Xenopus tropicalis: one gene and its partners. The protein of the gene in region 2 interacts with the protein of the main gene of each other region in a biochemical or structural test. Links are inferred from orthologs where the notes say so. Each region holds a gene or a part of one and is shown on either strand. Other genes may lie near its edges.

Region 1 (4,456 bases), on a different chromosome or scaffold from region 2:
ACAGAACGCTCCTATAGTCTATATATAAATAAGCTGCTGTGTAGCCATGGGGGCAGCCATTCAAGCTGGAAAAAAGGAGAAAAGGCACAGGTTACATAGCAGATAACAAATAAACTCTATAGAATACAATCACATTTTATCTGTTATCTGCTAAGTAACCTGTGCCTTTTCTCATTCGAATGGCTGCCCCCATGGCTACACAGCAGCTTTGCTTATATAAACTATAATAGTCTTTCTGAGGCAAACACACCAGTTATACCAGTGCAGGGCAACAGTGCATTATATTGTAATTACTTTAATATGCTTTCATATTTTGATGTTACTGTTCCTTTAAAGTTGGCCATACATGGCAAGGTCACTAAACGGGCAAATCTTTCACCCGATATGCCTACCTTGGGTGGGTGATATCGTGCCCCATCACATTGCAATGAAGGGGATAGGAAAAGCCAGATCAAGGACCACATCAATAAGCCAATGCAGTCCCCGATCCTGCAAAAAATCAAGCACGTACAATCAACATCTGGATCATTTTTGGCCAGATATCTGTTGGGGGGGTTCTGTCGGAGGGTCCCATGCAGGGGCAAATAAGCTGCAGAGTCGGTCTTAAGGAACAGAATTAGCATCTGAAATCTGGCCCCGTATGGCAACCTTAAGTTGCAATGGAAAAATAGTTACACCAGCACACCCTTACCTCCTCCAACAGGTTAGCTACTTGGTGCACGGCCCAGAGAGTCCGCACTCTCCGCAAAGTCCAGTAAAAATGATTTCAGCCGGCACAACAAGTAAAGTGCAAGTGGGGTATAACCCCTGCGTGTTTATTCAAGGCAACGTTTCGGGGGCGAACCCCTTCATCAGGCCACCTAATACTCAAGGTGGCAAGTACACTATAGCGTCATAAGCACTTCATGAAACAGCTCCGATTTAAAAAGAAGAAGGGCGACAGGGTAACGTTATCTGTTCTAGAATCGTAATAAAACTATCAGACTAACCTGTAAAACATGAAAACTAAACTGATAGCTTTAATCACAACAACGGCACTGTTCATTCAGCCAAAGCAGCCAAAGCACAGGTAAGGTCGCCGCGGGTAACCAAAGCCCGTTTCTCATAATTCCCACACTCACCAACCTTAACTGCCTGTTAGCTCTGTAGCTTTACTGCAGCCTGTGCAAGTTGTCGCATCAGTAGATACACGGGTTTCCGCTTACAGTGTCGGAAAGGGGTATTGGGAACTGTAGTACAACTGCAGCAGAAAGGTTTTACTAAGGCCTAACTTCTGCGCCTGCCCAGATTCCACCCTGCGCTAGCTCCGCCCCGCCCTCTGCTGTTGGCTGCCTAGTCTGTCGAGGCCTTCCTCAGTGTCCTGTCGGAAAAGAGCCCGCCGCCCTGACGCCGCGCCCGGGCCTGAGCTTAAGAAAAAAAAAAACTAGCGCCACCACAAGAGGAAGAAGAGAGAGCAAGAGCAGCAGTGACGCGGCGGAGGTGTAGTTTGACGCGGTGTGTTACGTGGTGGGGAAGAGAATAAAAAAAAGCCCAGCGAGATCCCAGCCGCGAACGAAAGCAGTGACGGAGGAGAGGCAGTGTAACCCGGTAAGAGGAAGGAGGAGGAGAGGGAGAGGCATGGAGGAAAAGAGATGGAGCAGGCCTCACCGCCGGCTGCTTTCACAAATACCCAGGCGGCAACTGATTGTAGGGAGGGATTTCTGGGGGCTGCCAAGAACAGCGCGCCGGCTTTTCCTTCGAGCTTGCTTTCCCGCCTGTCATGGTTCCCCTTTTTACCCCCTTAGATAATACAGAATGTTTACCCCGCCATAGTAAAAATGGAGACCGTGCGGAGGGGGTGAAATAAAGAGCCGCGAAACAAAGGATAATGGCGGCCGGGAGGAGGCAGCCGGCGGCGGCAAGAGCTGGGGTGTGCGATACAGCCACAGGGGGTCACCGGTGGGGAGACCTCCGCAATCTTTCACTGTCGCGACAGTCAACGGTGCTTATCACGACACATATATATATATATATATATTATATATGTGTGTATGTATATATATATTTTTTTTTGTGGCTTGTTAGATACATGCGACTAGTATCGTTCATGTTTTCCCGCAATATAGTCTTCATTCAAAGGGGAATATTCATGATGCGATGAACGAATTCTTCTTTTCCTCCCATATTTTTTAACACTACTTTTTAAAGTTAAATTTCTTTTTAAAGTTTAACGTGACTCTTAGGTTATTATTTATAAACAATGCTCCTACCTGCGGCACTCCAGCCGGGGTCGAACTAAAGGTCCTGTCAGGATGAGCTGAGGGCTGCATATTAGTAGCTGAAGGGCCGCAGGTTGGACTTGAGTGGCTCGCTAGTTGGTACAGAGGGAAAGCAGGCAGGTCTTTTTGCTGAGCATGACTTCATTTCGAATTGTTAGTGGGTTCCTGAAATATCTGATCGTCAGGGTTCACCAACTGTCTGCTCTTCTGGCAGCAATGGGTAGATATTTTTATTTTTTTACTGTATATTCTTACCCCAGCTCCCGGGCATCCTTCTAGTCATGGTTTAATAGTTGTCCACTGGTTGGGTAACAGCAGCATCAAGGGTCAGTGTAGACTGGTGAGGGTGAGCTCTTTGACCAAGATTACCAGAGGGAGGTTCCACTAATCCTGCTTTTAAAGCTTCATATTTATGTGACCCTTGTTCTGCAGTTTTTTTTATCCTGTGTTGAATGTTTGAAGCTCTAAAAACAGAATTGGCCCCAATGTCTCTCTGGCAGTCTGTGTATGTATTTTGACACATTTTTCATGAAGAAATGAAGATTGTAACATTTCAGAGATTTCCATGTTTCATCCAAGACTGGTACGGTTTTCTTGTCCATATATTTTGTTGCACTGCAATCCCTTATTGAACTTCCACATTATTTCCCTCATGCTTGCTCATTACTTTTTGTTTGATGAAAACATCTGGACAGTGAGAATAAAATTTGTTTATAATAGATCTTTACATTTTGTTTTATTTAGTATTGTCTACTTAATGCAGATCTGCATTTAAAGTATGTCAGGTATGATTAGACTTCAAAAGTATGAAATCTACATCACCTTAGTAATTGCAGGGAAGCATTAAAGCACAACTTTTGTGGTACTCAAACATTCTGCCAAGTAGAGGGCTAAGGACCCCAGGTTCTAGAAAGCTGTAATTTGTATTGGTCAATTTAGAGACCCAAGTTCTAGCTTGTCCGTTTGGGGCTAATATGTGAATACCCAAAGCACTCATTTACACACAATTAAACTTGCTAAAACTTCATTGCTGGTACCCTATAACATGGCTTCAGGGGGGTTGGTACATATTAGTGTGCTCGTTAATTCTAACATTTATAAGTGACCTGATATCGCTTAAATATTAATTGATTTAATTTGAATGCAGACAAACATAGTTTGGCTTTATTTGTGATATTTTAATTTAAGGCTTAAATATTTCAGTAATTAGAATACTGTTTTATATTCTTGGTTAATGGCAAACAGTTATAGACTTCTTTAGAGATGTTTTTAAACACCAAGTAAACTTTACAGTGCATATAGATGGATTTCAAAGGGTTCCCCCCCATAAGAATGCTGTTTTTCCCTTGAAATGCAATAAAGTTAAAAACAAAAATGCTTGCATTTTATTTTTTGTATTTGTGTTTTGCTTATTCAGTCACTTCCTGTTAGGCGGGATAGGTTGTTTTTTTTTCCCAACACTTTGAACATTCTCCTGTAAGTCTGCCTTTTCAAAGCCCCTTTCCAGAAACCCCAAATAAGCTGCATGCGTATTTTTTTTTTTTTTTTCGTTATACTCTAGTTATTGAACACTTTCATAAATAGGCAGAGATCATCATACACTTAAGCTCTGAGGTATATTTCAAAGTTGTTTTCATTTTAATAATACATTAGATGAAAACTTTCTTTTTATGCAAGGGCTTTGCAGGTTTTCATTTTGATTACTAAAAGGAAAACAAAACTGATAGAAACACTATGAGGGTGACACATACCTCTCCCATCCTAGTATAATAATGCTGTTAAAAACCTGTAGCTGTGGCCTTTTATTATAGTACATAATAATAGAGAAATGTCTTGTATGGCAAATTCTAGTATATACCTTTGGCATATTTTGCTGAGTGAATCCCAGTCTGTCCATAAGATAAAATAAATCTAAATAGCAGGAAATAAATATTGTATAATGAGACGCTTCCCTGTCTTAAGGCCTGTGATATGTCATATATATAAGTGTGCAAAAGTAGCACAGAAATGTTGAGCTGCTTTTCACACAGCACATTGCCGTATAGAAGTAAAGCGTATTTATTTTGCTGTGGACGGTCTGCAAATCTGCATAAATAGAACAGAAAACAGTGCATATAGTATATGTCTCTGAGATTTATATGTTCTTCAGCAATTGTATTAACACCTCCTGTGCAGGTTTTAGTTTTGAGTCAACTTTT
Region 2 (3,895 bases):
AAGGGAAGGAGATGGAGTAAATAAAGTGACAACATATTATATACAACTTGTTAGATATTCTCAGAGTATACATATGGGATGTCATACGGATAGCTGCTGGCACAAAATGGAAGATGTTGGCCATGCCTTATTTATATATGGGGGTGCCAGTCTTTCTGCACTTCCAGGAGCAATGCCAGCCCTCAGTTGTTGTATAGCATGGGATCAGTTATCCATAAACCCTTTATCCAGCAAGTTCAGAATTACTGGAAGGCCATCTCCCATAGAATTATTTGCTTATAATGGAGTCTAATTTTAAAAAATGATGCCCTTTTCTCTGTACCTTATACTTGATCCCAACTAAGATATAATGAATCCTTATTGGGGGCAGAACAGCCCTATTGGGTTTATTTAATGGTTAAATGATTCCCTTTTCTCTGTAATAATAAAACAGTACCTGTACTTGATCCCAACTAAGATATAATTACCCCTTATTGGGGGCAGAACAGCCCTATTGGGTTAATTTAATGGTTAAATGATTCCCTTTTCTCTGTAATAATAAAACAGTACCTGTACTTGATCCCAACTAAGATATAATTACCCCTTATTGGGGGCAGAACAGTCCTATTGGGTTTATTTAATGTCTAAATGACTTTTTAGTAAATTTAAGGTATGACAGAAAGATCCCTTATCCGGAAGCCCCCAGGTCCCGAGCATTCTGGATAACAGGTCCCATACCTGTAGTCTAAAGACCCGAAAGGTTTGAATCCTTTATAAACTCCCCACCTATTCCCTTTTAGCCCACCAAGTCATTGTACATCCTGCAATGCCAGCCCCACCCACCTTCCCCTACTGTTACTCCCCACTGTACCTTAAAGGAATACTCCAGCCGCACGAGGAATGGGAAATTCACAGCCTGCAGTATCCGCTTCTCATTCAAAGTGTGCTCGATCTGCTTCAACTTCACCACCTGGTGGGGCAAACGGAATGAGTAACTGGAAATTACTGATTGGGATTCCCCCTACAAACCTATAGTGGGGTACACCTCTAAACAAAGGACCCCTGCACACATGGAAACAGAAAATATTTATGCCATACCTTCTGCTTGTCCAAGATCTTCATAGCAAAGTGACTGCCATTTTCTTTGTGCCTGACCAGCATTACTCGCCCGAATGACCCAGTGCCAAGAGTTTTAATGCGCTCAAACTGTTCCAGGTGAGCTGTGTTCTGCAAGAGAGGTACAGGGGGAGAAGTGATACTGCTGCACCAACAAACAGACTGAGGCAGGTTTAGCATGAAATATAAACAGATCTTTTCCTTTGGACCCTACAGAGTGACTGTGGGAAGATAGGAATGATTACATTTCAGACTGACTACCAGTGGTAGAAGGCCAGGCAGCAGGGGCCTTTAGAAAGCTTACCTTGCAGTTCTTTTGCACAGCTTCTTGGCAGTTTTATGAAGCAATATGCTGTGCAACACAATCAGTTCCTGTAGGAAACCCTGCACATACTCTTAGCAATCAATAAAGAGTTAAATATACATATCTACTGTTTTTAAGCGCACACCTGATTGGTTGCCAAAGGTTACAAGACCTTGATAAACTTGGTTCATTACCACCCAACAACCCCAGCCAAATAAGGGTTTGTTACCTGTGCTGGATTTTCCCATTTTTTCAGAAAATCTTCTTTTGCTTTTGCCAGAAATTCTTTCACTGTAGAAAGAGCACAAAAGGATGAATGGGTTAATGAGGAAACAAATGGAGGTAACCAAGGAGAAAATGCACACTGGAGGCAGTATGAATGGAGGGATAAATGAAGGGCACAGAAAGTTATAGATCAACAGCACTGGCTCACGTGTGAGCAGCCAATGATAAGCGCTGGTACAGGGTTTATACTGCCTAGCCAACCACTCGCCTTAATGGATTCCAACTCCCAACGATCCCTGCCAGAGGCTCATGGGGGGGGCTATAAGTACAGTGCAGTGTTGCCAAACTGGCCCTGCTCTCCCACAATGCATTGTACTCACACATGAGGAAATCAGGGGTTATGGCTCGGCTACTGTATGTGTAGGGCCCAGCATGGCTACTAGTGGCACCAATAGCTATTCTTACAGAGCCCAGCATTGCTACTAGTGGCACAAATAGCTATTCTTACAGAGCCCAGCATGGCTACTAGTGGCACCAATAGCTATTCTTACAGAGCCCAGCATGGCTACTAGTGGCCCCAAAAGCTATTCTTACAGAGCCCAGCATGGCTACTAGTGGCCCCAATAGCTATTCTTACAGAGCCCAGCATGACTGACAGGCTGAGGAAGTGACCAATCCCTATGGCATTTCTTGGCTTTGAGCAAGGTGTGGGTTATACATTGAGGGCAGCGCTGGAGCACCTGGTGCACGGCTGCTTATCATTCCTTCAGTAAATAGCAATGGAATGCTCCGGGGCTGAATATGACAGGAAACCTGTGCAGAAGGCAGGGAGTTGCTCTGGAGTCGGAATGAGGAAGCTACAACTCCCAGCGTGCAGAGACGCACACAGACTGCTAGGAACGAGACAGCACAGACTGTTAGGAACGAGACAGCTCACTACTGAGACAGGCCCCAACTCACACTCACAGATATTCAACTTGTGCCCCATGGAGTAAAACAATGCAAACATTTAAGTACCATAGTGCAGACAGGCTAATTAAAGCAAATGCAGCGGTGGGATCTATTATCCAGAGACCTATTACTGAGCTCTGAAATACAGACACTTAGCAGCAGCCATTACTGCTCATAGCTGGCGCCACGACAGACGGGAGAAAGAGGAAGAACTAAATGCCACCACAGACAGACAGCTTATAGCCGGCTTAGTTATAAGGAGACTGCTACGGGCTGAGTTTATGTGACAGCCATACAGACAGTGTAAGGAAACAGACAGTCCCTAGTGCTACCAATCTAAGGAAAGAGACAGCAGAGTTGGGAGGCTACAGCAGAGAGAGATACGGAACTAGAGGAAGGAAAGAGGCAGCAGCCTTATCTGTCTCTATTTTGGGGCATTCCTCTATTCTGTGCAGCACACATATGGGCCAGGCTGGCTAGCAATTGTTGCCACCAACCGTCACTGCTAGTCAAAGTGACCACACTTGGGGGGAGCCCAATTTGCCTTTACCATCTCTTCTATAAGGGGCTCTATACAAAAAAACCCCAAAAAACTGCAGAGTCAGCAACTTCAAATGGGGGGTCACTACTGCTCTGTGAGGCTAAAATTGTATTGTTATTGTTACTTTTTATTACTTATGCTTCAATTCTGTCCCCCATACCTTCCATATTCCTGTTTCGCATTCAAACCACTGTCTGGTTGCTAGGGTAATTTGGACCTTAGCAACTAGATAGCTGCTACAATTCCAAACTGGAAAGTTTCAGAACAAATAGCTTATTCCAAAACCAATAAAAAAAAAATTGCAAACTGCTTTAAAACAGCACTCTCTACATAATACTAAAAGTTAAGTTACAGTTAAAGGGCTTGTTCACGTTTAACGTATGCTAGATGGAACTTTACAATGGGTTCCTTGGTTGCTGGGGTCAGTGATGGTCAGTCTGGTCTTACAGAGTGAGCCGTCAGCTTATTGGGCCGACAGATCTAGCTAAAACTCAGTGGCCCTTTCCAAAGCCAGCTATGATGGCTGTGCCCATCTAGGGCCACACAATGATGCAAAATGTAAGCTTTGTGAGCAATAGGCTACACTGAATCTGCTGCTGAATAAGATGGTTCTTACATGCATTTGTGGTAAAGTGTAATGCTGTGATAAGCCTACACAGGAAGGGGCCGCGAGCTGCACTGTGCAGATATACATAACAGCACATCTCATACAGAGGGGTATTAGTCTGCTCCCTACCGTATTATAGGCCACTTTCAGCTTTCTGTGTCATACACAGTTC
Region 3 (3,895 bases), on a different chromosome or scaffold from region 2:
AATGAAGACAATCCGTATAACTACTTAAGCTTAGTTCTGCAACCTACTCTTTCCCTAATGAGTCTCATCAAATGTAATCGCTTTAATTCTAGGCCAAATTAGGTTTCATTTTTTAGAAGGGACAATGTGCTATATGCACAGTAAAAATATTCCTGTAGGAAAATTGTTTAGTTGGCTGGTGGGCAGGCATTGTCAGTTTAACCTCCACTAAATATTTTTTTTTTATAAACCAAAAGAACTGCTGAGTAAAACAAAATGTTTCCACTTATTTAGATGTCACTTTCCTGTCTGAAGAAAAAGTGTATGAAATTCTTGAATTGTGTAGAGAAAAAGAGGACTACTCGCCTTTAATTCGGGTGATCGGGAGAGTATTTTCCAGTGCAGAAGCTTTGGTTCAGAGTTTCCGAAAAGCAAAGCACCATACAAAGGAGGAGCTAAAATCCTTGCAAGAAAAGGATGAAGATAAGGATGAAGATGAAAAGGAAAAAGCTGCATCATCTGCTGCTGCAATGGAAGAGGATTCTGGAGCATCATCCTCAAGGTTAAGTGACAACTCACAAGGAGACAACAACATACAGAAACTAGGCCCTGAAGAAGTGTCTCTAGATATAGAAGCAGTTCGACGGGTGTATCACAGGTTACTTTCTAATGAGAAAATAGAAACTGCCTTTCTGAATGCACTTGTGTACCTTTCTCCTAATGTGGAATGTGACTTAACTTATCATAATGTTTATTCACGAGATCCCAACTATCTCAATTTGTTTATAATCGTCATGGAGAATGGTAATCTCCATAGTCCTGAATACCTGGAAATGGCTTTACCGTTGTTTTGCAAAGCAATGAGTAAATTGCCATTAGCAGCGCAAGCAAAGTTGATCCGTCTTTGGTCAAAGTACAGCGCTGAGCAGATTCGCCGAATGATGGAAACATTTCAGCAGCTTATAACCTATAAAGTTATAAGTAACGAGTTCAACAGTCGAAATTTAGTCAATGATGATGATGCTATTGTTGCAGCAACAAAGTGCTTAAAAATGGTTTACTATTCAAATGTTGTTGGTGGAGAGATTGAAACTGACCATAATGAAGAGGAAGATGATGAACCTGTTCCTGAGTCCAGTGAGTTAACTCTGCAGGAGCTGCTAGGGGAAGAACGAAGAAACAAAAAAGGCCCTCGAGTAGATCCCCTTGAAACCGAACTTGGTGTTAAAAGCATTGATTGCAGGAAACCTCTCATCCCTTTCGAGGAATTCGTTAACGAACCACTAAATGATGTTCTAGAAATGGACAAAGATTATACTTTCTTTAAAGTAGAGACTGAAAACAAATTCTCTTTTATGACTTGCCCCTTTATCCTGAATGCAGTTACAAAGAATCTTGGTCTGTATTATGACAACAGAATCCGCATGTACAGTGAAAGGCGAATAACTGTTCTGTATAGTCTAGTGCAAGGACAGCAACTTAACCCCTATTTGAGGCTCAAAGTACGGCGAGATCACATCATTGACGATGCTCTTGTTAGGGTAAGTTTTATCCTAAATCTACTAAAGAATATCTATAATTGTCTATTTGCAATGTATTTTGTATACATAATATATATAATAATAATAATACATAAATATATTTAATAATAATGTACAATCTAAAAGGATCCTTAGTTTTAATTTTATGATAATATATTCACTTCTGCTAAGAATACTGTGTACAACTCCTGACTGTTAATTCTCAGAACAGACACAAAATTTAAAGGAGAACTAAACCTTAACTAAACAAGCAGGGCAAGATTGTTGTACATTATGTTTTGGGCTTCTGTACCAGCTCAAGGCAGCTGCACCCCTTTAGCAGGAAGGATCCGTGCCTACTTTATTTAGGCTTTAGTTCTCCTTTAATAACTGCTCAGAACTCAGGGCTAACAAAATCCAAGAAGGGGGAGCTCCTTGGACAACTTTGAAGGCCTGGATTATTACTACTTTTGAGATGCTGAAACTTTAGGCTGATGCAGTAAGTTTAGTATATAAAATTTGGCATTTCTATCCATATTTATTTGAGGGTTTTGTTTTCTAATGTTGAAAAAATACATTTGAATTGACCTTATGTCTCTCCTTAAGTTACTATTTTGTTTGAAACAGAAGTCACAGTTTTTGTTTCTGTGTTTCAGGTGTCAACAGGCATTTTCTGTTGAATCAATTTAGGGCAGATAGCACAAGAAAATGAAAGTTATTTAAAAGTGTAGTTCTTCTTAAACCATGAATGAATGGTCAGTTCAGTCATTTTTAGTTTGGTTTTTTTTTCCCTAAAAATGCTAAAATCAAATCCACTTGCCAGTTCTATGCAGTCTGTTTTGACTCTTTGCTTGCGAGTTCTGCAACCAGATGGTCACTGAACACTTCTACATTTTTTGCTGATTACCTTCTAATTAGTTGAATGTGGCTGTGGAACAACTTACTGTGATCTGATGAAAATCAACAAGTTAAGGTGGCCAGATTTTATCTGCCTGTGTATGGCAGGCCTTCATGACCAGTATCTGGCCAAAAATCGGCATCAGCTCAGTGATGCAGTCCTCTCTCCGACTACTCATATCCCCTTCATTGTAATGTGATTGTTTGGCCCTAGGACATCGCATTAGCATGATATTGCCCACCCAAGGTGGTCATATTGGGGAAAGATTTGACCTGTAAATGATTCAACAATTATTTACGGTATATTTACCAATCTAATTATGTTCCCTATGTTTTTCCTTAGATTTTGTGGTTTTTCGTGCAGCTTCCTGTAAATGCTTACAGTCCCTCCCTTTGGGCGATGACACACAAGAAGACTAGTCACCATCCCTAGAGATTAATCTCCTCAAATGCTTTCCTACCTGGTGAGAATGTAAATCTCTGCTAGGAAAACATATGCGTCCCTTTAGCTTTCTGAAGTCGCTCGAAATTTCCTCACAAGGCGTCTTGAAAAGCCAACGCAACACATATATTTTCATACAGGGCAATTTAAATTCTCGACAGGTAGTAAAGCATTCAAGGAGATTAATTTCTAGAGGTGGTGACTACTCTTGTGTGTCTTCTCCTTTATACATGCTGATTCCAGTTAGAGCACTCTTCTCAGTGCTAGACAAAGTTAATACTTTTGACAAGTGTAGTGTTACTTTCTAAGAAGGTTTTTTGTTCCTCTACTGCCCTTGATCATACGATCACCTTTGTCCTCTCGCAGATAATCACTGTGATCATTATGGCAATCTTATCTCACAGCAACTTCCCATATACTAGTCTATGGAAAATGCTTCCCACAGTGGGTGATTGTTGCTTGGGAACAAGGAAAGCAGCTTTCCTGCCAAAGACATTGCTCATGAATGCAGGAATCAACATTTAAAAGGGAAGTCCACTCAAAAATGATTTCTTTGTTTACATTGTGAAATTAAAGTACTCATTTAATGCACAGTGGAAAGCGGTTTTTGTCATTTAGAAATCAACTGTTCTCCATCCAAAATGGAAGTGCTTATAATCCCAGGAGCAAGGTCTTGCAGGTCTATTAAATGGGCCCACCCTAAAAAACTGTTTTTTTTTGCCAGTGGTTTTGAAGATGATGTAATTGCGTTAATGGACTTTAATCACAGAACATGCAAGGCACTATGGGAATTGGAGAGATGACTTGTGCCACAATATTGCAATGGTACAATTAGTTAGTGACGGGCTGTGAAGGATAGCACTGAGTGGAATTTTTGTCAGGTTTTGCCCCCCAAAAAATGCCCTTAGACTCGTATAGCTGCAAAAAAAGTTGGCAGAACAGATTAGTTCAGTGCTAGCGATGGATCATAATACACAGATAATTAAATTAGCATAGTGGTATCTAACATATTGGCACCCCACAATGAATTCAGCTTTCATTTTCTTTTAAAACAGAA
Region 4 (4,594 bases), on a different chromosome or scaffold from region 2:
AACGATCACTATCACAACAAGGTAAGTTCCCCCAAGCAAAAACTGAACCATAAAGGGGAAATAGAACTGAAGCCATGAATCCTGAAATCATCTTATTTAGCTCAGCTAACCTGGGTAGGAAAGAGTTTAAGTTTGTTTTTTCAGGACCAGTGTATATTAAACTACCACGTAGCACTTGTCACTGCCTGATGAACTGAAGAAGCATGACTGCTGAACTAACCTAACCAGTCTTCACTTTGCCCGTAAGCAATACACAAAACTGATGATAATTACAGTTGCAGATGTAAATATTGTTATACAAATTGCAGGACACAATTTAGTATTATTACCCTTTGTTTATATAGTGCCAAAACATTTACACTGCACAGTTATTGTGTCTAATTCACATAATTTCCTGATCCTTGATCCCAATTAATAAGAGAAGAAAGGTAAAAATATGCAAAGGCTGGTATTTTCTCCAGAAACGTGGCAACCCTAAATGGAGAATATCAGTGGCATATCTAGTGTGCACCAGTCCCACCACCACAAAAATATCTTCAGAGGCTGCTTCCTATATAGTTATAAAGTCTTCCCATCCCGCTTGCAAGTATCAGAGGGGCTGGGGAGGGAAGACTTTGCAACTATATAGGAAGCAGACTGCAGTCTGCTTTCTCTATATTTACACCACTGAGGTATATGTCAACGGCCATGCGCCCCAATTGTGCTCCTTGTAGTCTACTGTCTGTAGTCTGCCCTATTGCTGAGTATTTTGGGTGCATTTTCCATGGCAAGGGTTAGCTTTAAGCCAGGTAAACAGAGAGCAGGATAACTCCAAAATATTTAATGCATTAACAGGTCTCACACAAAGGGGCATAACTAAAAGGGAAGCTGGAGGCCATTTGGACACTGACTTAAAAGGCATGTGTACCTTGAATGTGAAACATTGAGGTTTGCTATGTTCCTTTTATTATGTTTCAATAAATATTGACTTTTTACACCTATATTCTAAATCCTGTGATTGCTGACATTACTTTTACTATACTTTGATCATACGGCTCTTGCACCCAGGTCCTGACTCTGTTAGTGGAGTGCACCATTATGTCCTCTGACTATATGATTATATACGAAAAATGTTAAACTCCCAAAGTACTTTTAGTTATGCCACTACAGACACACTAAATTCACTGCAGTGATGCACAGCACTTCATTTGCAGTTAAAAAGCTATTATTTTTTCATGGCTCAGTCAGATCAAAAATACTACACACTACTCCCAATTTCATCAGGAGGCAGAAGCCAGGTAAGCTGTCTGTGTGCTTTTCCAACGTGTAAGGAAATGAGAGGTTTATCTGTTGGATTTATTGCCCTTAATGTCTTGTATGTGTAAGGTTGCTGAGCACTGAAATGCTTTCAGTGCTCAGTGCTACCTTTCACAACAGTTTGCATAGAAACTACTTCACGTTTAGCCTTGCAGCATGGAGGGAATTCTCCAGCCAATCATTAGTACAGGACTCAGAGGGTCCCGCCCACACAGCCGAAAAACAGGAAGAGGAAGCAAAACAAGGGGACAGGGAGAAAAGCAGTACTGGAAGACAGAGGCTGCTGGAGAGATAATATCAGAATCCAGGGGGAAGCAGTGTGCAGCCGTCTGGGAGTTGCTTCCTTCAGTTTCCTGGACGTTTTGTGTGTGTGTACAAGGCATCAGCAGCCAGTGTGAGCCTGTGCAGCAGCCGGACAGCCATCTTGACAGGGAGAGAGAGCTACAGTGAGAATAGGAAGCAGGGTTCCTTCTGAACCGAGTTATTTAACCCCTACCATGCCAGTGACACTGGGATTTCTGCAACCAGCCATTTAGCTGTGAGTCTGTGTTAGGTCTATGGACTGGGGAGTCCCTATGTTGCTGGATGTTTCCACAGCACTCGGAAGTGTCTCCATGATTTACTATAGCTGCCGCCTGCTAGGGTTCCATTGAGCAAGTGGAGCAGCTGAGGCGACTTCAGGGATTAAACTGTGAGCTCATCAGCACTCCAGCAGAGTAAGTAGGGCTTCCAGCCCAGCCTTTCACACATCTGACTGCACCCAAGGGAAGCCCTTACTGCCGTCACAGTGGGACACAGGAGAGCTGCTACCTTGGGGCAAGTTGAGCAACTTACCTTAGGTGGCAGCACCCGACAAATTGCCAGGGGTGGTAAAAAGACTCCTGGTAACTTATAAAAATCGGAATTTTAGTGCAGAGATCACTATTATGCTCTCTGCACTAGTGATTCAGCCCCCATCAACTTTCTCCAACGCAAAAAAAAAACAAAACATGGGGGGGGCTGGCATCACCTTGGCCGCCCCAGGTTGGCACTGAGCCCGAGACGGCGCTGCATCTGCATCCTGTGTTTCCTCCACACTAACAGACAAAACTATTTTCCCTAGTATAGCTTTCAACACATAGCAGAATCTGTCTTTCCAGAGAGCCTGTTGTTTAGGCTGCTGGTGCCATTTGCAGCACCTTAAACTCTCGTTAAAGGGCCCCACCCCGTTAGTATGCACTATAGCCAGCTGACAAGGAGTTGGGAACTTAGGTGTGCGCACAAGGAAGTTGGTAGGTTCATATAAGTACTGTTCTCAAGGTGTTGTTATAACCTTGTCAGTAAGGTATTATGCTATCTGACCACTTCCGCCTATATCACTGTGTAACCAAAGTGTCAGTGTCTGGTTTGACCTTCTCAGTTCAGCCAATCATACCTGATGCCTGCTAGTATGGATGTCACCTTTAAATTCACCTTTAGTTTTGTGTAGACAGTGGTATTTTGAGGCAATTTACAACTAATATTCACAATTTTCAGTTCCTTTTTTAATCATTTAGCTTTTTGTTTGTTGGACTAAACACTAAAAAGGTGGCCATACATCCTTTAGACAGAATCGGAAGCTTATTTGCCCATGTATTAGCATGAACGACGGGCCAGATCTCGATCGGGCAGATTTGATTTTTCTGTTAGATCGGGGACCACATTGGCTTGTTAATGTGGTCCACGAACCTAAGGCGCCTATTCCCACTGTTTTAATTCCATTGTTTGGCTCTAGGGCCAAACAACTGAATTAGCCCGATATCACCCACCCCATAGGTGGGCATATCAGGAGAAGATCCACTCTCTTGGCAATCTCTCCCAAACACTGTAGCACAGTGCAACAAGTGAGTGTATTCACTAAACAAAAGGTGTGGTGATTGGTCATTGTACTTCCTACTTTAATATGAAGCTTTTTTTTATATAGGTATAATTTTATTAACAACAGACAGACATTTATGCCAAACATTTGCAGAATACATTAGTTTTAGTTGGTTGGCCAGTGATACAACCATACTATGTGCAAATAGAGATATGCATATCACTTTGGTTATAGTACATGTTATGTAGGTTCAGTCCAGTCCTGCTTCAATCCACGGGGTCCAAATCAGGTCAAATTTAGTCTGTGTTCCTCTCGCTTCTGAGGTAAGATTAATTAGTGGGATTGCCTGGTTTACCAGTTGTTTCCATGATTTTATGGTCAGTAGATGTGGTCCCATCCAGTGCATGGCAATATGAAGCTTTTTAATGCTTAATTTATTAAATATAATTTTGTATGCTAGAAAAAAAGAGCTACTTTCTGTATTCTTTTTAATCCAGATTCATCCTCCAAAAAAATCAATGTTCCTTCCCAAATATTTTACAATCATTGTCATCAGTCTGAAAAATGATTTCATTTTTTAGGTTCTTGTAGTCCTATATCTCATTACAGAAGTGAATAACGCAAGCATTCACAAAATCATAGGCTGTCCTTGAAGAAAAAGAAGCCAATAAACTATATATAGTTTCCCTAGGTAAATTAAACACCCTCATAAAAAGTTCCCACTGAATTTAAAAGCGCAAATGAGGCATTGGAATTAAAAAAAGCCTTAACTTCTGCCACATTTAGTAACCCGTAGCAGCCAGTAGAAGCTACCTTGCTTGCTATGGGTTACTAGACAAATATCAAACACTGTGACAGGACTGATGCTGTTACATTTTAAATGAGACATGTGGAAACAGCTTAGGTTTATCAAAATAGAAATTAGCAGTATATATGTATGTATAACTCCCTGAAATTATTCTGTTCTTTTTTAGATGGCAGATTCATCCCCTTCAGCAGTTTTCAAGTTAGAGGAATTCGATAATGAGGAACAGGGATTACCTTTGCCTTTTGTGGATCCCCCTCGTGGGGCAGGCGTTCGACAACCTGTAGCTAAGAGTTCTCCCAGCCTGCGAAGATACCCAGGTGATCTTCTGCCAAGAAAATATGTATTTCATCTTTCTTCATAAGCATTATGCCATCTGTAATATTGAAATCTGACTTGCTATAAGATAAAATATATAGGCAGGCAGTGACTTCTGGAAAGTATGTTGTAAATGTCTTAGTGATAAATAAAGGGTAATAATAACAGTGCTGCTAGCAGCCGTTTTAAACTAGTAAGTGAATTATAGCATATACTGAAATAGTTGTACCCCTGTAAACAACAAAAGCATAATTAATAATACTACCTCTATCACAGGGAAGGAGTCACGTTTACGCACTGAGTCTGCTTCAGAGTCCAGTGAGACAGACAAAGTGGGC
Region 5 (3,895 bases), on a different chromosome or scaffold from region 2:
TAACATTTTAGAGAATGCTGATGTTTTAAGAGACATTACTACTAAAGAGCATTTTTTTTTTTTTAATCTTAAAGGACGTCAACCCCCAAAAAATGTTTTTGCCTAATAAATTAGAAACATAATTCTAAGCAACTTTCCAATATCAATTCGTTAAAAATTATTACTACTTTAAAAGTTGTGTAAACGTAATTGCTATTGAAAGCAGCATTTGCCGAAATCCTGGTTGTTACTTTTTAACAAAATTGCATGTGCCAGGCTCCTCCAGCAAGGCAGGTCTGTCACGATTACGCCACTTCAGATGCACGTGACTGTAGGCGTGGCTGTCTAGAGGGTCCCTTGCTCAGTCTCACACACCTGACACACAGGTCAGACTAGCATCACAGCACCCCAAAGACCAACCAACGCTCACAAACTCATACACAACTTGCTGCCACCACTTTCATACTTCTTACACTGGCGATGAGAGATGCCAAGCACACTGGTAGAGAAAGGGTTAATGTAAAGAACCGACACACACACTCTCCTTACCAGCAGTCAAAGGGTTAATCAGCACACAGCATACAGAGGGCTAAGGCACACAACACAGTTACACACTCGGAGGTTAGGTACGTTTTAGAGCATCAAGGACAAACTTATTAAATTTTATATTTAATATTATAAAAAGTATAACAGTGCAAGTTTAAAACAAGATGTTACAACAAAGGACATACGATAAAACAAGTACAAACAGTTTTAAAATAAAAAGGGAAAAATATAGAAGTCCTATACTATACCAAGCAAAGTCCTTCTAGTCCTGGAGGCAAGGGGAAACCACAGGATAAACTTCCAATAGAAATTGGTCCTCCACATAATATCTTCAGAAGAGCTGACTATTTATCCCAGTTTGCAGGGGGATCAGGTAACTGGACACTCCCCCCTCCCTCAGGAATGCAAGGGGTGTCACCATTAGCAGGACACAGTGTGAGTTTTATGGCCTCCTGTGTATGGACTGAGTGTATGGGACTTGTCCAATGATACCAATGTCCATAACTCCTTGTGGGAACATGATGAAATTAGATTCATCAATTCTTAATGATCCCACCGGTCCCATACAGACTAAACATCACCACTGTGTGACCTGCCCCTGCCCAGATACTCCTATCTGACAAACCAAGTGCCCAAATCCAGTGATGTTTGGACCCGTATGAAAGGCCATCTTAAATGAAACATATACTCAGGTTTTGGTACCTCTAGTATAAATAGTATGGGTTCTGGGACAATAAATGTTTGTGAGTTTGGGTTATGGTGTGACCTCCACATCACCTATGATGGGTCCCAATGTGAACTCTAAGTCACCCCCACGTGGGCTTTCACTCCCCCACATGGCATGGCTCTTATCAGCCAGGGATTAGAGTTGGGCATTTCAGGATGCGAGGCCTTTACACATGGCTGGTTCCAGACCCTAGTGACCAGAGGCCTGTTATATATCTCTTTCTGGCACATTTCTGGAAGATTTTGGGATACCTTGGCCTGCTTGATTAACCCTTACAGGCCTATATCATGACAAGGTCTGTCAGTCTGCTGCCTTGTGTTACATTGCTTCAAGTGCCAGAGCCACCAGGGCAGAGACTAGAGAGGACAGGTAGACACTGCTTTTAATAGCAATTATATATACAAATAACTAAAAAAAATAATGAATGAATGAAGTAATGAATGTATATTGCTTAGAATTAAGTTTTGTTTAATTAAGCAAAAAGTTATTTTTGGGGCTGACAATTCCTTTGAACAGAAGTGTAACCAAACCAATCATTACCTGTGAATACTACGATCTGGGGAAAGTTCAGCTTCATAATATCCATCCTTACAGTCCTTTCCTACCAACTCATGAGGGTGAGGTTTGTGTGGAGAATCCTTAGTAACTAGGGATATTCGAATACGCGCTGAGCCCTGGTAATGGTTTATCTAAAATGACCATAAAGAATGGAAGGAATCAATCAGACAATAAAAAAATAAATAAAATAAATGTGCAAATGACAAAAACCATGAATGAACAAATCAAATACTATGATGATGGTAAAGTGATGATTAGAATGATCAATAAGGCTAAAAAATTTTTCACTTCCCTTAATAAACAGCTGGGTAAAGAGCTATGAAAGTACAGCCATCAGTTAAGTCAAACAGAGCCCATAAGTTGACCGCTATCTTGTAGGCCATTACCAACTATGCCAGTGTGTCTTACAGCAGAAAATGAAAAAACATACATTATCTGACAACAATGGCTATTCAGACACTGAAACAATTTGTTCATTTAATGAACAACAAATCCTGCAATAAAACGGTGTTCTTTTTAGTCATTTCGCTTTTTGTTTAGCAGCTCTTCAGTTTGGAGTTTCAGCAGCTATCTGGTTGCTAGGGTCCAAATTATATAGCAACCAGGGAGTGGTTTGAAGGAGAGACTGGTACATGAATAGGAAAGGACCTGAATAGAAAAAAAAGTTATAAAAAGTAACAGTAAAATTGTAGCCTCACAGGGTCAGTGACCCCCATTTAAAAGCTGCAAATTGTTCAAAAACTATAATTGGCCATTCTATAACATACTAAAAGTTTACTTATAGGTGAACCACTCCTTTAAAAGGGACAGGGGTCTTTTTTTCACTCAGGGGCAGATTTATCAAAGTCCGAATTTCGGCTAATTAAAAGTATGATTGGCAAAAATTCGGAATAAATACAATAATTTTGGATGTGTGTTAATTGTGAGAAAATTCCTATTGTGTTTGTACGCAAATATCGTGGCGCAATCCGAAAGTTCTGAAATTTTCGTATCCGAACGATCATAAACGCCGCAAAAAACTTTGACTTTCAACCTTCAATGCATGATTTTGGAAGCCTCCCATAGGATATAATTACACTTTCTGCTTCCTTCTGTTTTAACTAGATGTGCAGAATAAGAAGCAGTCCAACAGCATTATGCATCGCCACCTCACTTCACTGTAGGTCTGCATCAGCGATATTAAGTGTTTTGCATAAACACTTTCCTTTAAAGTAGGGTGGCACAAAAGAAGCCATTATGCAAACGAGCTATGCCAGGTCATGCCAGCTGAGTATCTCTCAGACTAATTAACTGAAACACAAGTGTCATCTGACCTGAATAACAGAGAACATGTGCCAGAAAAAATGTGACACCAAAAATTACACCTAAATTGTGTGTAAAGCCGGTATGCATTGGAACTCAAAACACATAACACTGTTAGTGCTCAAAAGGGGGGGGGGCTGAATGCTGTTTGCATACAAATATTTTGTAAAGTCACGTTAAAACATCTAAATCACAGATAATACACTTATTGCAGGATTTGTATTCATCTGTACAAATTGTTTAAATGTCTGAATAGCAATGTGTCTTTTCAAGTGAGTATTTATGAGCTTTGCACACTGTTTGCAAGTGAAGTCTAAAGGGGGCCATACACAGGCCGATTTCAGCTGCCGATTCTGGTCCAAACCGGTTCGGCAGCTTATCTGCACCCCGATGCCTACCCGATGGATATCTGGCCTCAAATTGGGCAGATCTCGATCAGGCAGGCTTGATTTTCTGTCAGATCAGGGAGCACATCGGCTCGTTGATGCGGTCTCCGATCAGAAGGCGTCTATGTCTGCTATTGCAATTCGATTGTTGGCCCTAGGGATGGCATATCAGGAAAAGATCTGCTCGCTTGGCGACCTCGCCAAATAAGTAGTGTAAGGCTACTTTAACAATGCACAATAAATACAGTGGAACATATTACCTTTAAATGGCTTAAAGCGGTTATTGTTGCAAAAGTTCACTCTACAAAATAAGAAAGGGGTAGTTCACCTTTTAAATTAACTTTTAGTTTGCTGTAGACATTGATACGCTGAGACAATCTGCATTTGTTCTTAATTT
Region 6 (3,895 bases), on a different chromosome or scaffold from region 2:
TTCTAAGCCAAGGTGATCCCTTGTCAGGCCCAGAAGATACATGAACAAGTCACAATCAGACATCAGTTAAGAAGGACATTATTTTGAGCATACAATATGCTGTTAAACTTTTTAAAAAAAATTGATGTAACATCGGTGATAGTGCTTTTCTGAACACTTTTGCAATTTATATTTACTTTTTTTTTTTTTTTTTTAAAAATCCAAGATATTAAGGGTTTAAAGTACTGTTAATATGAATGCATTTTGTTACAGCAGCACCACCTGCTGGTCAGTTTCCAAACACAAAGTAGTCACGGACGTTGTCAGGAGAAATTAAAAGGGCTGATTTGATGTTCCTCTCTTTATGAAAGATGTGGAAAAAGTTATCTGAAGTTTCTAATGTTTTTCCAAACCAAAAGAACATCAGAAAAGACCTTTTTCATTCTCCTGATAAGTTCCTCAACAACGTCCTCAACTACTGCATGTATGTATGTATGTATAACTTTATTTATAAAGTGCTACAAGGGTACGCAGCGCTGTACAATCTTACAATGTTATAATAAATACAATAAATATATATAAATAGACAGGAAATAAGTGCCATGTGGTATGAGACACAGTAGGAAGGAGGTCCCTGCCCCGTAGAGCTTACAATCTAAGTGGTTGGGTAACATACAGGCACAAATAGGAAGGTAAGAGTGCACCAGGTACAGGCATTTGCCCTTGAGCCCAGGACTGGGCAAAATAATGTTTTAGGGCTCCAGAAGGTAACAGCTGAGCTTTTTCTTAAAGAGAGTGGGTGAGTGTTCCCTACGGAGCGATTCAGGGATAGAGTTCCAGAGGTAAGGAGCAGCGAGATAGAAAGGTTTAAGACGAGAGAGCGCAGTGGGTGTGGATGGTGTAAAAAGACTGAGGCTCCGAGAGGAGCGGAGGAGATGACCAGGAACATGCAGGGAGACCAGTGAAGAAATGTAGTGAGGAGCAGAGGAGTGAAGGGCTTTGAATGTTAGCAGAAGGATTTTGTAAGCTATCCTTTGCTTAACAGGCAGCCATGCTAGAGAGATTGAGGTTGAGGCTAAACAGGTTTCCTCTTAGGAGAGAGCAGGAGGATCCTGGCAGCAGAGTTTAAGATGGATTGTATGGGAGAGAGGTGGGAGTCCGGGAGGCCGGTTAGTAGGAGATTGCAGTAATCTAAGCGGGAAAGGATAAGGCCATGGATTAGTGTTTTAGTAGTAACTTGTGAAAGAAAGGGGCGTATCTTGGCAATATTCCCCTCAGGTTTTGGCAGTGTTAATTAATAACACTGTCAATCCATATTAGAGAAGGAAAGTGACTGGTCAAAGATAACCCCAAGGCAGCGTGCTGATTTAACAGGGTTAATGGTCATGTCATCAATAGTAATGGTTAAAGGAGGAGAAGGGCTAGGTTTGGGCGGGAAGACCATGAGCTCTGTTTTAGCTAGGTTAAGTTTGAGGTGGCATTGGTTCATCCAGGAGGAGATAGCCAGGAGGCAGTTAGCAATCTGGGTTTGTACATCAGTGGTTAGTGAAGGTTAGTGTTCAGAAAGGAACCAGCAGGTGGTAATGTGTGCATTCATATTAACAGTTCTTTAACTCTTAATATCATGGAATTTAAAAATAATAATAGTAATGAATATCAATTGCAAATGTGCCTAGAATAACACTTTCATCAATTTCACATCATCTTGTTTTTTAAGGTTTACTTATCTTTAAAACTGGGCACAAGTTGGGCGAGGCTATGAATAAGTGTGGCCAGCGGTACCTGGTCTGTGGTGGATGTTGCCAAAAGATCCACACTTAGAAGTGATGTGTGTCAAGTCGATCGGCTTGTGAGTTATCTGTATCTGAAAGTGGACAGAAGAGAGAGAGAACAGAGTTAGAAACGAGCAAACGAGAGAGAGAGCAAAATCTAATAGGTCACCTGATTGCTAAAGTTTAGCAGCTCTCTAGGCCAGTGGCCCACTTCATACAAGAGCTCCCTCAATAAGAACCCTGCTGCCTCTGTACAATATGGCTACACAGCACATTAAACTCCCTGCGTTAGTCAGCAGTAAGGTTTATTGCCCTTAAATACAAGTACAGCTGTGTTTACTTGGAAGGGTTGAACTTGAGGCAGCAAATTTGGGCCATAGCAACCATATAGCTGCTAAATAAAAATCTAAATAATTAAAAAACCGCAAGTAATGAAAAATAAAGGCCAGTTGAAAATTTTCAGAGCACTCTCTACAACATATTTAATTTAAAAGTGAACAGCCCCTTTGAGCGAAGCCCCGTCTGCAACTGCAAGAGCACTAAAGCTTGCAAAATTGTAACCCTTAGTGCTTATTACAGAGCCTGTACTTAATGCCTGACATAGGAAAGGTGGTAAGTACAAGGCTTCTCTGCGTCTTGGGTGACCGGCAAGTTAGCGGGCAAGTAAGGATGTGTCGCTCCCTGCTCATCATGTGCCCTGTTGCTTTATCTTCATTGTCTGCATAGCTGTGTATAAAGAGGGGCCACTTACTGTGCCTCCCCCTGGCATATGTTTCAGATTGTCCTTTGACCCACACTTGGACTGCACACTACTCAAATCGATCTTCTTGTGAACTATCTGCACCTGTATAAAAAAGAACAGAGGTAAGTACATTATACAAGGAAAGGAATATGGGTGAGGGCAGTGAGCTCTATCGTGGTTTATGGAATTATATATCCTCTGATCTACTGCACCATAAATCTCTGGCCTTTGCCAAATCTGCTTCCCTGGTACCTTGCCGCCACCTGGCTGATGCCGAATGTTGTCTATTGAGCCGATCTTTGAGCGCACATTCTTCAGGTCAGGCATGGCTGCTGGGCTAGTGACTGGCTGCAGACGGCTCTTGGCAGATGCTGGGGATTTGGGAGGGGTGCGAATGACAGCAATCTTTTTGGGCTCCCGGGTTGGGGGTGTTTGTGAAGAAGAACGTCCAGTTGGTGTGCCAGGTGATCCAGGACTGCTGTACCCGCTCCTTTCACCAGATTTGGGCGATTCTGCTGCAACAAGGGTAAAACTGCATTAGAACTGAACGAGAGGAGAACTACATGACAATTTAGACAAATGGGGTCTGATCATGAAACTAGGAAACCTGAAACAAGCCTGGTACTGCAACACTTGTGGCTTCTCAGCCAGCTGTAATATTCAGCCCGTGGCAGCTGTGTGCATTTGGTTGTTCTAGACCAGTGATCCCCAACCAGTGGTTCGTGAGCAACATGTTGCTCCTCAACCCCTTGGATGTTGCTCCCAGTGGTCTCAAAGTAGGTGCTTATTTCTTAATTCCTGGCTTAGGGGCAAGTTTTGGAGGCATAAAACCTGAAGTACTGCCAAACAGAGCTTTCTGTAGGCTGCCAGTCCATATAGGGGCTACCAAGATCAGCTCAGAGCACCCACACATTGAATGTAATAATCATTATGCAATCGCACTATTGCCTATTAAACATAGCAACGGTATAGTCTGACAGTAGCAACTTAGTAATATTAATTACATGGGTTAATCTGCTCCCCACAGTATATGTGCCACTCACCTCTGTCTGGCTTGGCACCGCTGGGTGGCGGCTTTCTCTGATCCCTTCTGACAGCTGTTAGAAAAGAAGGTATTTATTACAGAAAGCCTTGCACTGTCCTACAGAACCAAGCCCACTCTCCTACAGAACCAAGCATGCTGTCCTATAGAACCAAGCCCACTCTCCTACAGAACCAAGCATGCTGTCCTACAGAACCAAGCCCACTCTCCTACAGAACCAAGCATGCTGTCCTACAGAACCAAGCCCACTCTCCTACAGAACCAAGCATGCTGTCCTACAGAACCAAGCCCACTCTCCTACAGAACCAAGCCCACTCTCCTACAGAACCAGCCCGCTGTCCTACAGAACCAGCCTGCTGT
Region 7 (4,503 bases), on a different chromosome or scaffold from region 2:
TCTCTCTCCTCAGCATCCTCCATGGACAGGCCCTACACCAGGTACCACAAACCTAACCATATGCTTATTGGCTGCTATCCTGACACACAATCTGTCCTCTGGTACTTTTGCTGCTTTGCCACATTCCAGGACCACTGTAAACTTTGCTACGGAACCTTTTCAATGCTGCTCTGTAGGTTAAATATGTCTAGTTCTATGTCTTCTTGTCTGTATAATCCTGGGCAAACATAAACAATGTTTACATTTTCCCTGTGCTTGACTTTGTGCTTTTTTTGTACACTTTTTTGGGGAAAAAGACAATCTTATCAGTTTCATGGTCCTTGGAAACCACTCTGCCACTGATGCAGTGTGAAGGTGCAACCGTGCAATCTTTCCCACACTGGGATTTGGACTGAAATCTAAACTTGAAAATAGTTATTTCGTCACTATCTTTCTTAAGGCTAATAGCACATGGGTCATTATATACTGGAAAAATCAAATCGCTGTGTTCCATATAGGCACAGAATCAGATATACAGAGGATTTAACAATGTATACTCCTGTATTCTGTAAAAAAAATCAGTATCTACACAAGTGCATGTATTTATAAAAACTTTTTTTTTTTAAGATAGATTGCCAAGACCAAAGCATTGGTTTTACAGGCCTTAATCATGGAGATTTTGATTGGTTAGGTTTGTTGATGTGGCCTGTACCTTGACGACCTGCTTGTACTACATTGTAATTTGTTTGGCCCAAGGTTGGGATGTGGCCCTTACCCCAATGGCCTGCTTGTACTGCATTGTGAGCTGATCGTTTCAGCCTGACATCACTTATATCAAGGTGGGCACATTGGTAATAGATCCGCTCGTTTGGCAACCTCGCCAATGTTTCTGACTCCTGCTGCTATTATGAGGCTACCTAACTTCGTAGCGTTGCTCATCTAGGGGTTTTTGTGCTCCCCACAAAGATTTCAAAGCACTTAAACTACTGAGCAGGTCTGGCGTTGTGCACATCTGCCTGGTAACTCCTAAATTATGTTATGTGGTCTTTTTGTGCCCCTTCTGCCATGGTACACCCCCTGAGACCACTTTAGGCAGCAGTGTTCATGCTGGAGGAATGGGAGGCCGGTGAACTTTGGAGTGAGGTTGTAAGATAAACCTGGCTGATGCTACTGGGAAACTGCTGCCAAAGAGGAAGAGGGAGGAGTCAGCAAAACCTGACAGCCTTACCTATCCTTCCTCAGAAAAGAAATGTCCTCTTACAGTTATTCATCATCTGTGATTCAGAAACACAGAGGCAAATAGGGTTTCCTCACCCCCCACTCCCCCCCCCCTTCCATGCAGTGCTGTGTTTTGTTGTAACTTGACGCCCTCTGTTTCACACTAGAGCCAGGGTAACAGTAATTCCTTCACACCTCCCCTATTCTTTGCTAGAGGGAGGGGGGCATTCACTCGTTGGGACAATAGGGTCTTAGGCGCTTCCATTTACAATACACTGACTAAGCAGCAGTCCGTGATGATGTCGCAGCCTGCACCAGATATGGAAGCAGGGAGGATCCTGCCTTCCCATAAGCTGAGGCGGCGCTGATGTCACATGCCGTGTTAGCCCGGGGAACACTTAAATAGCGAGGCTGTGTGTGAGAGAAACAGAAGGGAATTACTCCTCACTGAGAGATAGCCAAAGCCTCTAAACTAAGCCCAAGGGACAGCTTGCAGGGAATATTCCCTTGTTTTACTCAGAGGATCTTTCAGCAGCTCGGCACTTCTACCAAGTAAGTCAACATCGTGTGCTTCTGATACTGCCACTTCTGTGCAGTTGGTCTATTTGTGAGGACCTGCTGACAGCTGTAAATTCATAGGGACACAACATCCTGCTCACTGCTTAAATACCTTAATGGATCGATATTACGTGACTGGAGTCAGGAATTTACTTTTTGATTTAAGTGACCTTGGAATTGTTTAAGTCTTCTGAATAGTTAATACATTTCATAAAAAAATAGATACTTTTAATATTCTGACAGCTACGCTTTGAAAACGAATGTGTGTGTTGTTAATGTGCTGGGCTGCACTATGTTCATTGACACCCTTTCACTGCTGGTGTCAAAGTACTGTAAAGTAGATGCAGCTTTATCCACACTACTATTAATGTTATTATTAAATAATCATAGTGCTGACATATTAAGCAGCATAAACTGGGTCCTGGAACAAAACCGTGTTTCTCTGACTTTTTACCATTAAGTGGCTGCACTGCAGAATTTACTGAAAACATCATGTAAACTTCTCACAAAGTGTTAGCTCTTTCTTTTATAATATCAATAATGGACAAATGGAGCTTCTTGTGATGATGTGCCCAACAATTTCACATAGCAGCAAGAAAAGATAGATCACATATAGTTAAAACCATAAGGATTTAGTAATAATGACGGTACTATATAAGAATCTCTCAGAACTACAATTCCCAGTTTCACACGAGGAACACCAAAACATGCCCATCGCCGTTCTGTAGTGATTATAATCTAAGTGTTAAAAAAATGAAATTTCCAGAATTCCTCAGCAGTTCCAAAATGGAATGTTTCTGCTACAATGTTTGAAAGGGGGTTAAAATGAGAGTGCAAATTCCTGTCCTGCAATACATTCAGAAAGCTTTTAATCATGTGGTTTTAGGATTATCGCTTTTCAAGCCTTGAAAATGTGTCAGTACAGGCTGACTATTAACGTCTTGTGTGTGTCTGTTTTGTTTCCCCTACACTTAGAAATGACCCTCAACCGAAGTGACCGGTTTAAGAGCCTGGAAAAGAGGAGAGGCAGCATGCCATTCTCTATGCATCAGCAGCTGCACAGGAGAAGCATGCCCGTGGATGATAAGGAACTGCATGGCAAAACCCCGGCATCTCAGCTATCTAGCTTGGTCCGCTGCCCCTCGTACAACCCTTCAGATGAACATAGAGAAAGCTGGGCATCAGATTCCTCTGACTCTGTCATCTCCTCTGGCAGTGACTCTGAGGATCACGTGTACAAAGTCATCCTGCTTGGGGAACATGGAGTGGGAAAGTCTAGCCTGGCCAGGATATTTGGGGGTGTGGAGGATTTACATGATGTAGAAGAAGCAGGTGAGAATATTATTGAGACCAAGGAAATGTGTGTTTGGAAGAGAAGATGGAGAATTCGATTTATAACCAGACATGCACTAAAATGCACCTAAATGGTTTTAGATCAATATTTAGCCATCAAATCTAGTTAATAAACTTTACAGTGCAACCATGGCATACACATATATTATTGACAAATGTATATGTAAGTCTGTAAAGTTATGAAACCCCCAATTTGATTCTTTTTCTTTTTCATTCCCAGGAAATACATATGACAGATCTATTGTGGTGGATGGGGAAGAAGCCTGTCTTTTAGTCTTTGACATTTGGGAACAGGTATGTCATTTCCCACTATTTTCCACTATAACTACTGGTTTGGAAAGTGTTCTATTAAGAGAAACATTTCAGCCCAGCAAGTAACAGTATTCATAGGCATACAAAATTTAAATCCTATAACTTTTGTAACTTTCAACTTTACATAAAATAGATTGCTTAAGAATATAGATATGAATCAGACTTAAGACATTGTGGAATAAAGGACAGCTGTGACTTTCAGCTGTAACATCAGCATACATTGGAGAACTTTAGATCAACTTTTAGATAAACTTTAGATTGACCGTTAGGGCTGTAGAATAGGAGCTTTAAGCAACAACCTCGTTCTGGGAGTTTCACCTCAGTCCACACCACTGTTTTATTGCAAGGGCAAGGAACATTAACGCTAATAATTAGTAATTAAACCTTGATGCCAGTATGTAAAGAATAATGATTCTATTTTGTTGTTTTCAGGATGACAATCACTGGCTGCATAACCAGTGCATGAAGATGGGAGATGCTTATGTTATTGTTTATTCCGTTACGGACAAAGCAAGTTTTGAAAAGGCTTCTGAGCTCAGAATACAGTTACGAAGAGCAAGACAATCAGAGGATATTCCTATAATTCTAGTTGGCAACAAAAGTGACTTGGTCAGATCACGAGAAGTATCAGTAGAAGGTAAATTCATAATGATATCCATGCACGGAAAGCTCAATATAATATATATGTGTAAACATTTACTATGGGGATGAAAGTAAAATGGGTCAGTGAAAAGAGTTGGGAATATTAGTACTTTTAAAGTAACTTTTAAAGAGGTAAAATTAGCAAATATATATTCACCATTTTATGCTAAGGCATTTCCCAGAAATGCAATAATAATATCCCAGAGCAATAATACCAATAATAATAGATTTGCTGCATACTATACATGTTCCCTATCTATCAGTCCAGTTCTTCTTTGGCTTGGTATATAGTTTATACTGTAAAGAGATGCTGACCATATTATGGATATGATCATTACTTACAGTGACATTATATAGCACAAAGAAATATTTTTAATTATTAAGGACAACAGAAAAAAATAAGGGATGTATCTAAAACTGCACTTAGCAAGGATGCAAGTG

What was found.
Region 1: the proteins of prkaca (region 2) and creb1 form a complex in vitro, tested with the Homo sapiens proteins (2 studies listed by BioGRID, with this or other methods). The link is inferred for Xenopus tropicalis from reciprocal best matches to the Homo sapiens genes PRKACA and CREB1.
Region 3: the proteins of prkaca (region 2) and ube3a form a complex in vitro, tested with the Homo sapiens proteins (2 studies listed by BioGRID, with this or other methods). The link is inferred for Xenopus tropicalis from reciprocal best matches to the Homo sapiens genes PRKACA and UBE3A.
Region 4: the proteins of prkaca (region 2) and bad form a complex in vitro, tested with the Homo sapiens proteins (2 studies listed by BioGRID, with this or other methods). The link is inferred for Xenopus tropicalis from reciprocal best matches to the Homo sapiens genes PRKACA and BAD.
Region 5: of the proteins of prkaca (region 2) and rela, one has a biochemical effect on the other in vitro, tested with the Homo sapiens proteins (4 studies listed by BioGRID and IntAct, with this or other methods). The link is inferred for Xenopus tropicalis from reciprocal best matches to the Homo sapiens genes PRKACA and RELA.
Region 6: of the proteins of prkaca (region 2) and mapt, one has a biochemical effect on the other in vitro, tested with the Homo sapiens proteins (9 studies listed by BioGRID). The link is inferred for Xenopus tropicalis from reciprocal best matches to the Homo sapiens genes PRKACA and MAPT.
Region 7: of the proteins of prkaca (region 2) and rrad, one has a biochemical effect on the other in vitro, tested with the Homo sapiens proteins (2 studies listed by BioGRID). The link is inferred for Xenopus tropicalis from reciprocal best matches to the Homo sapiens genes PRKACA and RRAD.

What each region holds. Positions count from the first base shown.
Region 1 is NC_030685.2:49,782,878-49,787,333, reverse strand, and holds the start of creb1 (cyclic AMP-responsive element-binding protein 1), read left to right. Parts: upstream 1-1,453; 5' UTR 1,454-1,587; intron 1,588-4,456.
Region 2 is NC_030679.2:134,187,312-134,191,206, forward strand, and holds part of prkaca (cAMP-dependent protein kinase catalytic subunit alpha), read right to left. Parts: intron 1,691-3,895; coding exon 1,629-1,690; intron 1,207-1,628; coding exon 1,078-1,206; intron 950-1,077; coding exon 851-949; intron 1-850.
Region 3 is NC_030678.2:113,354,999-113,358,893, reverse strand, and holds part of ube3a (ubiquitin-protein ligase E3A), read left to right. Parts: intron 1-273; coding exon 274-1,520; intron 1,521-3,895. UniProt on the Homo sapiens protein: E3 ubiquitin-protein ligase which accepts ubiquitin from an E2 ubiquitin-conjugating enzyme in the form of a thioester and transfers it to its substrates.
Region 4 is NC_030680.2:35,248,504-35,253,097, forward strand, and holds the start of bad (bcl2-associated agonist of cell death), read left to right. Parts: upstream 1-1,507; 5' UTR 1,508-2,012; intron 2,013-4,107; coding exon 4,108-4,258; intron 4,259-4,532; coding exon 4,533-4,594. UniProt on the Homo sapiens protein: Promotes cell death. Successfully competes for the binding to Bcl-X(L), Bcl-2 and Bcl-W, thereby affecting the level of heterodimerization of these proteins with BAX. Can reverse the death repressor activity of Bcl-X(L), but not that of Bcl-2.
Region 5 is NC_030680.2:38,474,668-38,478,562, reverse strand, and holds part of rela (transcription factor p65), read right to left. Parts: intron 1,942-3,895; coding exon 1,793-1,941; intron 1-1,792. UniProt on the Homo sapiens protein: NF-kappa-B is a pleiotropic transcription factor present in almost all cell types and is the endpoint of a series of signal transduction events that are initiated by a vast array of stimuli related to many biological processes such as inflammation, immunity, differentiation, cell growth, tumorigenesis and apoptosis.
Region 6 is NC_030686.2:17,258,441-17,262,335, reverse strand, and holds part of mapt (microtubule-associated protein tau), read right to left. Parts: intron 3,591-3,895; coding exon 3,537-3,590; intron 3,009-3,536; coding exon 2,746-3,008; intron 2,596-2,745; coding exon 2,503-2,595; intron 1,844-2,502; coding exon 1,762-1,843; intron 1-1,761. UniProt on the Homo sapiens protein: Promotes microtubule assembly and stability, and might be involved in the establishment and maintenance of neuronal polarity.
Region 7 is NC_030680.2:67,036,113-67,040,615, reverse strand, and holds the start of rrad (GTP-binding protein RAD), read left to right. Parts: upstream 1-1,619; 5' UTR 1,620-1,749; intron 1,750-2,730; 5' UTR 2,731-2,732; coding exon 2,733-3,087; intron 3,088-3,328; coding exon 3,329-3,402; intron 3,403-3,852; coding exon 3,853-4,057; intron 4,058-4,503. UniProt on the Homo sapiens protein: May regulate basal voltage-dependent L-type Ca(2+) currents and be required for beta-adrenergic augmentation of Ca(2+) influx in cardiomyocytes, thereby regulating increases in heart rate and contractile force.